2 linked regions of the Rattus norvegicus genome follow. The protein of the gene in region 1 purifies or fractionates together with the protein of each later gene. This does not show direct contact. Links are inferred from orthologs where the notes say so. Each region holds a gene or a part of one and is shown on either strand. Other genes may lie near its edges.

Region 1 (3,749 bases):
CAGTTCCATTTGCTGCAGAGAATGAGGAACTCGGTCAAAAGAAAGGCAGGCTGATTCAAGAAGGTCTTAAGAGTGGGGACATCCGGGGGTTGGGGATTTAGCTCAGAGGTAGCCCTGGGTTCGGTCCCCAGCTCCGAAAAAAAAGAAAAAAGGAAAAAAAAAGAAAAAAAGAGTGGGGACATCCTGGGACCCCATATAGGTAAACAACAAAATGTGCCTGTAGAAAGTCTGAAGGGACAGACAAGCTATGGACAAAAAGACCTCCCACGGCCAGCGCTGCGGCCCGGGCGTCGCTAGGGGGCGCACACCGCCTACAGTTCAGAGCTGTTCCACCGCAGACTCGGTGGGGAGTCCGGAAAGGGGGCGGGCACAGAGGTAGAATGGGGTTGGGATTCTCTGCCCACTGCCACTTCGGTGTCATGCAGTGTGGGTGCCATCCATGGGGCAGGAGATTTGTCCATGGATGGCTGGACCTCCTGCCCCTTAAATCTCCCACCACTCAGGGATCGAGCAGCTAATGGAGGATTACGGGTGGTGGGTTAAGCAGTTACCAGCAACTCCTCGGGGCGGATAGAGTTGTCAGTGTAGATGCACAACTTCTCGGCAGTCAGGGGAATGGTCTCCTTCATCTTAGAGGCCACGAACATGCAGGTGGCCCCCAGAAGCTGCAGGCGGCTCTTCTTCAGGGGCTCCAGAGACAAGAAACGGTCCAGGTAGTTCATGGCCAGCGGGAAGACCTCCTCTTCGCACTTCTGCTCCTCGCAGACCTGCGGGAACCCGGACCCTGACCGTCAACGGGGGAGGGGGGTGTCGCTCGATGTGACCCCGCACCCTTTTTATAGATTGCACAGAGGGATTCCGGTGGCCAATTCCGGGGGATGCGCTCTAGCCCTGCGGGTTCCCAGTACCCACCCATCATGAAACTGAAAGGGAAAGTCCTTGGGCAGCTGGCGCGGCGGATCGAGGCAGTGGTGGCCACGGAGACCCCCGTCCCCGTTGAAATTAGGAAGCCACAAGGCAGGGAAGCCCACCGTAGGGTTGGCGGAGCGCCGGGGGCTGGGCACCGCTCAAGCGCACGCGAGACACAAAGGTGGCGTCCCAGGCCGCCGCGCTGCATTTCCCAGACGTCATCTTTTCAAAAAATATTTAAAAATATTTAAAAAATAACTAGGTGCCTAAAAACGGCCTGAAAATAACAATAGGGCTACCCTTGATCCAAGCCGAGGGTCAGGAGCTCGGTGGACATTGGGGGATAAGTCCCAGCAACTCAAACTTCGGGGGCCCCCCTTTTGCTGGGTGCGGGCGCTGTTTGCCTCTGCAAGGGCATTATAACTCACTTTAAAAATTATTTTAAAATATTTTGGAACCCTTGAGCCTCCTGTTGAACAACTGAAAATGTGCTTTGGTCCCCCGGCTTGACCCAGACAGGTTCCCCCAAATGCAGACCCGCACGGACAACAGTCAATCTCGGTGACTAGGGGGCCACGCGACCTTGCAGTCTAGCGTTTTCTCTGGGCCAGGCAGCGTGTGCGGGGTGCCCAGGGGTCCGTTGTTTGAACAAAGAGTCTCCCACCCCCAAATATTCCTCACAGTGTCCTATTTAGTGACTCCCGGCCGCCACGAGGCCCCTCGTGCCCGTCCCAGCGCCCCTTCTGCCACTCTCCGCCCTGCCCCCAATTATTAATAAACACTTTTGCTTTGCAATAAAGGAGCAAAGATGGCGCATAATATTGGCACGAGCGGCCCTTGCATACGTGTCCATGGATATTAATTTAAAAATCAAATCTATGCCCCCTCCCCCCTTAGCTGGCGCTACGCGCAGGGGCGGCCCCCGCTGAGGCGCTGCAGGAATGGGGCACAAGCGGGGGCCACAGAAGAAGCTCAGCCTGCATCCTCTGTGGTGTCTCTGACACGGTCCTCCCTGGAAGGCACCCCTCCCCGACTGCCCCCCCCCACCAGGAAAAGAAATTCCTATCGCCCCAACTCCTAAACCTTTCCCGTTCAAAAGGACCCGAAAGTGTCTATTTATTTTGTGAATCCCGAGTCCTAGCAACACACCGGGAAAAATCCGTGACGGAAAGGAAGAGAAGGGAAGAAGATGTCGGTGATAGCAACAAGTTGCCAGGGGGTCCCAAGCTAGCAGCCTGTAGTTTCTCACCTCTAGCATCCAGGTGGCCACGATTTTCCGCATGGATGGCACAATCTCCCTCTGCACGCACTTGAAGTAAGAAACGGAGGGCGCGCAGGTCTCCTCAGTCTTAAGCATGGCTCGCAGCACCCGGTCGTTGAGGAGATTGGTGTCAGGGTACGCGCGGCGGATGGTCTCCACTTCGCAGCACAGGAGCTGGTGTTCCATGGCGCGGCCGCCTGGGGAGGGCTGTGGTCCGGGTTGGGCTCCGGTGTCTGCTGCTGACGCGCGCTGCCTCGCGCTCTACGACCGGTCTCCGGAGCGCGCGGAGTCTGCAGCTCTCTGCTACTGCGCCAACAGCCCTCTGGAGGCTGCAGGACTTTGCAACTTCAACAAAACTCCCCTGTAGTCCGAGTGACGTTACTGTTGTTAAGCAGAGATCAAAGCCGGGCAGAGAAAAAGGAGGGGGGGCGGGCCGAGGCGGGCGCAGGGGGAGGGGGCTCGGGAGCAGTGAGCGGCGGGGGTGGGGGGGGACAAACCCAAAGCCTGCCCCCTCCCCCCTCGGCCTTCGTAGATATGCAAATCGCCGGGACTGCTTCTCTCTAAGCTGGGAAAGAGCGGGGCAAGGGCAATGGGGAGGGGGGCTTCTTTCCCCAAGTGGGTCCTCCGAGACCTGTGAAGGTGGGGTAGCGGCGGCTCTGGACAGGGGGACAGCTAGGAGGGAGGCCAGGCCACACGCAAGCCAAGAAAGAATGTATGGAAGGGGATCGTGGGGGGTGCAAGGACACCCTATACTTAAGCGGAGAGAATGGGCGCGTTTCCGAGGACGCCACGAGGGCACCCACGGGCGGACCGATTGCTAAGAAATCCCGTCGTCCTCGACTTCTTTCAATTTCATCAACACGTGTAAAATTCAGGAACTGTGTAACAGGCGAAGATGCCAGACGAGCCCTAAGTTCTCGTGCAGGCTCCCTCCTGGCGCACTGGGGTGGTTGCAAAGGGCCAGAGGGGTATCTTTGAGCTTTAAAGGGTCCCCAGCCTGGCATGTACTCGCTCAAAAATAAAATAAAATAAAACCCCGAAAATCTCAGCAACAGCTCAAGATGGTGGCCATTATTTCCTTCATCTATTCCTCCTCGCTGGGGGTGGGGTGGGGGTGGGGATGGGGTCTGAGATTTGCCTTCTTACAGTGACCGGTTTATCCTGGCCAGGGTCCTCTGGTATCCCCCTCCTCCACTGCCGGAGAAAAATAAATCTTTGAAGGAAAGGTTGAGACACGATAGGCTCTTTGTGTAATTTATTTTTTAATTAAGAAAAGTAAATCGCTGCAAGTATTAGTTGCCCTTCCAGGAACCAGACCACCGGAAGCTTCCCGATTGGCTTCGTTGGGGGTGTGTTTTGTGTTCCCCCACCTTTAGAATTGCAGCTGGGGCAGCCTTACAGAGTTTGGGGGTGGGGACTGGTGAGAATCAAGATAAATGTGTGAGCCGATAAGGTGATATTTAAAGACATTCTATAGATACTCGTGGATACCAGAATGGATCCCTAAGCCTATTTTAAATTTATAGTCAAATATTTTTAGAATGAAGAGGTTCCACCACCTTGGTCTATTACTTATTTC
Region 2 (3,749 bases), on another chromosome or scaffold:
ATGAAGTCTTATTTCCTTTGGTACTGTGGATATTCTTATTATTGTATTGAGTCCTGTTGCCTGTAGCTAGGCCTAAATTACAACCTAACTTTGCTCAGTCTGCTTTTGCACCATTAAATGAACTAGTAACTGAACCTACAACACATAAAAGCTATTAGAGGAGCTACATGATCCCAAGACTTTTACACCCCCAACCATTCCGTTCACTTGCTAATCCTCACTGATTTGTCAAGAGTATTTCCAGGAAGCAAAAGGTTGTACACTTAGCTTTCCAAATCCTGTCTGTAAAAGCTTATGTGGCATCATCTGAGTTCCAAGCCAGCTTGGTCTACTCAGAATGCCATCTCAAAATGAAAGAATGAATAAACAAACAGAAGTCAAGGCTTAATGGCTAAGCCGGCAATCCTGCTTCAGACACAGTTAGCTGGACGACACCTCTTGCTACTTACAGCTTCCTCTTCTTTATCAACATTGCTTGTCTGGGACAACTTAATGTTCCCATTGCCAAGCTCCCCACTCGCAGAAAACTTCACCCCGTCCTTTGCACAGGAGATCACCACAGCATCTCCAATATGGCTAAGGTCCCGGCATATACGTGCAAATTCACCAGATGGCATCTTTACTACGCAGCTGTACTCCTGTTCCTGTAAATGCAAGGTTAAAGGTCAGTCTAGAAAAGAGGAAGACTCAGCTTCATGTTCTCAAGTTTCAGCACCTTAACTAGAACTCAGAACACAAGACTTCTGATGTCTTTACAACTCAATCAAGTTTAGGCTGTTGTGGTCTGGTGAAATGGCAAACACCACAACTCCACTTTAGAACATGCATCAGCTGGTATCACAGCTTGGTAAAACACCATCAGAAACAAGATACTTACTGGGATTCCAAGTTGCTCAACGTCTAAGTCCATTAACTTCATCTCATAGTCTGAAACTTTCTCTTGATCTACCAAAAGAAATCCAAGTGTTACTGAAGCACATGTTCATATCTATGTTGTAAATTTACCACAACCCTGTTGTTTTTAATTGTGAGAAACAGAAACAGCACACTTTAATTTCTGTAGCAACTGAGTTTTAAGGGTGTAACTTACTTGGTGCTTCAAATACTAGTGCTAAGGTATCAGCATTATCTTCAGCCCTTAATGTAATGATGTCTTCATTACCAGCACATTTTAGAATTTTGGACATGCTAGAAAAAAAAAAGGACACAGGGCTTATCAACATCATGTCTCCACATTTACATTTTTAAATTTATATTTCACATTCATGATTGGAGAATTGTTAGGGAGGATAAGGGTACCCCGAACCCTCTCAGAGGTTAAGCAAATTATCGGGTATATGTGATCCTTAAAAATCGATTTAGTAAAATGCACTAAAAGCCAACATTCAAGAACGCATCCTTTTTAGTGGGGTGTCCTCGGTTTTCAGCGTACTGGAGAGTGTGCCCTATCGCGTCTGGCCTTTTCATAAATGTTTCAAAATGTATACAAGTGACACTAATCCATATATCTGTACCAAAATAAGTCACATATTGTCCTTGAAATGTATACAGGAGGCACTAACACAGGTAGTTGTAGCAAAGTTAAAAGCTAAAACTGAGATTTTCCTGCAAATCCATGACGCGCAGTGAGATTCTAGAAGTCAAGAAAAGGCCTATCGTCACTCTAAGACTCTAAGTCGACAGTCCTTTTTCACCAGAACTCGCTTATTAGGCGCTAAAATCGGCCAGAAAAAGCTGCAGGCACTTAATGAGCGCAGCTCGGAAGCACGCATTTTCCCGCTGACTACCGCTTTGTGGCTTTGGCGCGGGAAAAAAGTAGGCGCGACAGCCAGCGCGGGCTTTTCGGAACCGCGCGCTTTGGTGGGTGATGTCCCCGGCACCACAGGCCAATCAGAAAGCGCGGACGGCCATGCCAGCCAATGCGAGTGCAGGAACACAGCCCCGCCAAGAGCCGAAGCGGGAGGGATGGGGCCCAGCTCCCGCCACCCGCTCACCTGGTGAGGTTCACGCCCATGGCCAGGTTGCGATCGCAGCGGTATGTGTCGAAGCCTTCGGAGCGCAGAGTAAGCTGCACTAAGGAGACGTGAGACGAATCCATGCTCTGTAGGTTCACGCCGCCCGAACTGATGTCCCAGCAGGCCTCATTGATGAGGTCTTTGAGGGCCTCCAGCACCTTCTTCAGGATGGAGCCCTGGATCAGGCGTGCCTCAAACATGGTGGCGGAGTTGCGACGTCTAGATGAGAGTTACTGTAAGGGGAGCGAGGTCTTGCTGACAAGGTACCCCGACTCACGATGCAGAAGTAGCGTGAAGACCAGGAGGGACGATAACCAGTCACCTGCGCCCGCAACCGTCTAATGCCGCGGCTTCCTAGGCGCGCGCTCTTTCAGTGCGCGAGGTTGTGGCGTCACAGCGCTGACCCACCCACCTCTCCTCTAGAACCAATCGTATCCGTGGTTTGAGCAAGGCCCGCCCCGCCGCGTATACAGAGGCGGAGCTGTGCGGTAAGAGCGTGGGAGGCGAGGGGCATCACGGGGTTCGCGTAGGCTGTCGTCACCGCCGGTGTTGGAGGGAGCTTAGGCTGTGGTTTCCATGTTCCTTAGGAAGTTTCTGCGCCACGGAAATGAAAGCCACTTGCAGTGCGCGGCGGCCTGCCTTGAAGAGGGAGACTGTAGTTCCTTCAAACACAGTGGAGTGCGTTTCTTTTACTACTGCGTAAAAAATATGCCGCAAAATATTGAGTAATAAAGAGGCCATCTTATCTGAACACTCCCCAATTTCATAACACTTACCTGGGTGCTTCGCTCTGAACTTTCCTCCCTAAAGATTTAAAAAAAAAAATGCCTCTTAACGCGAACGCTTCTGCAAAGATATATAGTTCATGTGTACCACGTAATTAGTTTCCTGTATGGTTGGTTTCTTTTATATTTTTAAAGGTAGATATTAGTATTTTCATCTTAGTTTTAGGCTTAAGATGAACCCAAGCCTGAGCCCCATCTTGAAAATATTAGCTGTTGCAGGTGAAGCGTCTTTCATATGTCCCTGGGCTGCAGCATTTTGTTCTACTAAAACTTCTTTTTCCTATTGATTATGAGGATGGAGAAGAACTGAATGTAGGTAATGGGCATCATTTACAAAAGGATATAAATGATTTCTATTTCTAATGCTTTTTCTCTTGGTTTTGGTGGTAGATAAAATATATTTGATAGTGGAAGTGTAAAACTTCCAGCTTCCATTTGGAATGCCTCTTCTAACTGTAGACACAACTTTTGGTGTGTGATGTTTTATTTATTTGCATTTTTTTTTTTACTAATAAGACATATAAAATTTCAGAAAGTTAAAAGGATTGTTTTAGCTGGTAAGAGTGTTTTACAGCTAATTCCAGCACATGGGAAGGCTGAGGTGGGAGGGCCTAGATTTAAACTCAGCTTGGACTATCTACCAAGACTGACACGAAGGGGGAAAAAGGAATGGTTTACGTATGAAAATATTAACCACATATCATGTGTATTTATTCTTCCCTTATTTACAGCATTTCTCTTTAGCTTGTCTTGTTTGATTTTTCTTTTCCTGGCTTGGGGATTTAGGCAGGACATTGTATAACAACTCTTATCATTGAGCCATAGCCTCAGCCTGTTAGGAGTCTCCATAATTTTTTGAGGCTTGCTTTAAACTCACTCTGTTATCCATGCTGGCCTTGAACTCACAATTTGATGCCACAGCCTCTGGAGAAGCTGGGATTCTAGGGCT

Evidence for each region. Proteins that work in one complex are often made in the same cells at the same time.
Region 2: the proteins of Ccnd1 (region 1) and Pcna purify together in Homo sapiens (affinity purification with western blotting; 5 studies listed by BioGRID and IntAct, with this or other methods). This does not show direct contact. The link is inferred for Rattus norvegicus from reciprocal best matches to the Homo sapiens genes CCND1 and PCNA.

What each region holds. Positions count from the first base shown.
Region 1 is NC_086019.1:209,525,330-209,529,078, forward strand, and holds the start of Ccnd1 (G1/S-specific cyclin-D1), read right to left. Parts: upstream 2,482-3,749; 5' UTR 2,357-2,481; coding exon 2,159-2,356; intron 768-2,158; coding exon 552-767; intron 13-551; coding exon 1-12. UniProt on the Homo sapiens protein: Regulatory component of the cyclin D1-CDK4 (DC) complex that phosphorylates and inhibits members of the retinoblastoma (RB) protein family including RB1 and regulates the cell-cycle during G(1)/S transition.
Region 2 is NC_086021.1:139,953,544-139,957,292, forward strand, and holds the start of Pcna (proliferating cell nuclear antigen), read right to left. Parts: upstream 2,278-3,749; 5' UTR 2,216-2,277; coding exon 1,995-2,215; intron 1,189-1,994; coding exon 1,091-1,188; intron 946-1,090; coding exon 878-945; intron 645-877; coding exon 450-644; intron 1-449. UniProt on the Homo sapiens protein: Auxiliary protein of DNA polymerase delta and epsilon, is involved in the control of eukaryotic DNA replication by increasing the polymerase's processibility during elongation of the leading strand.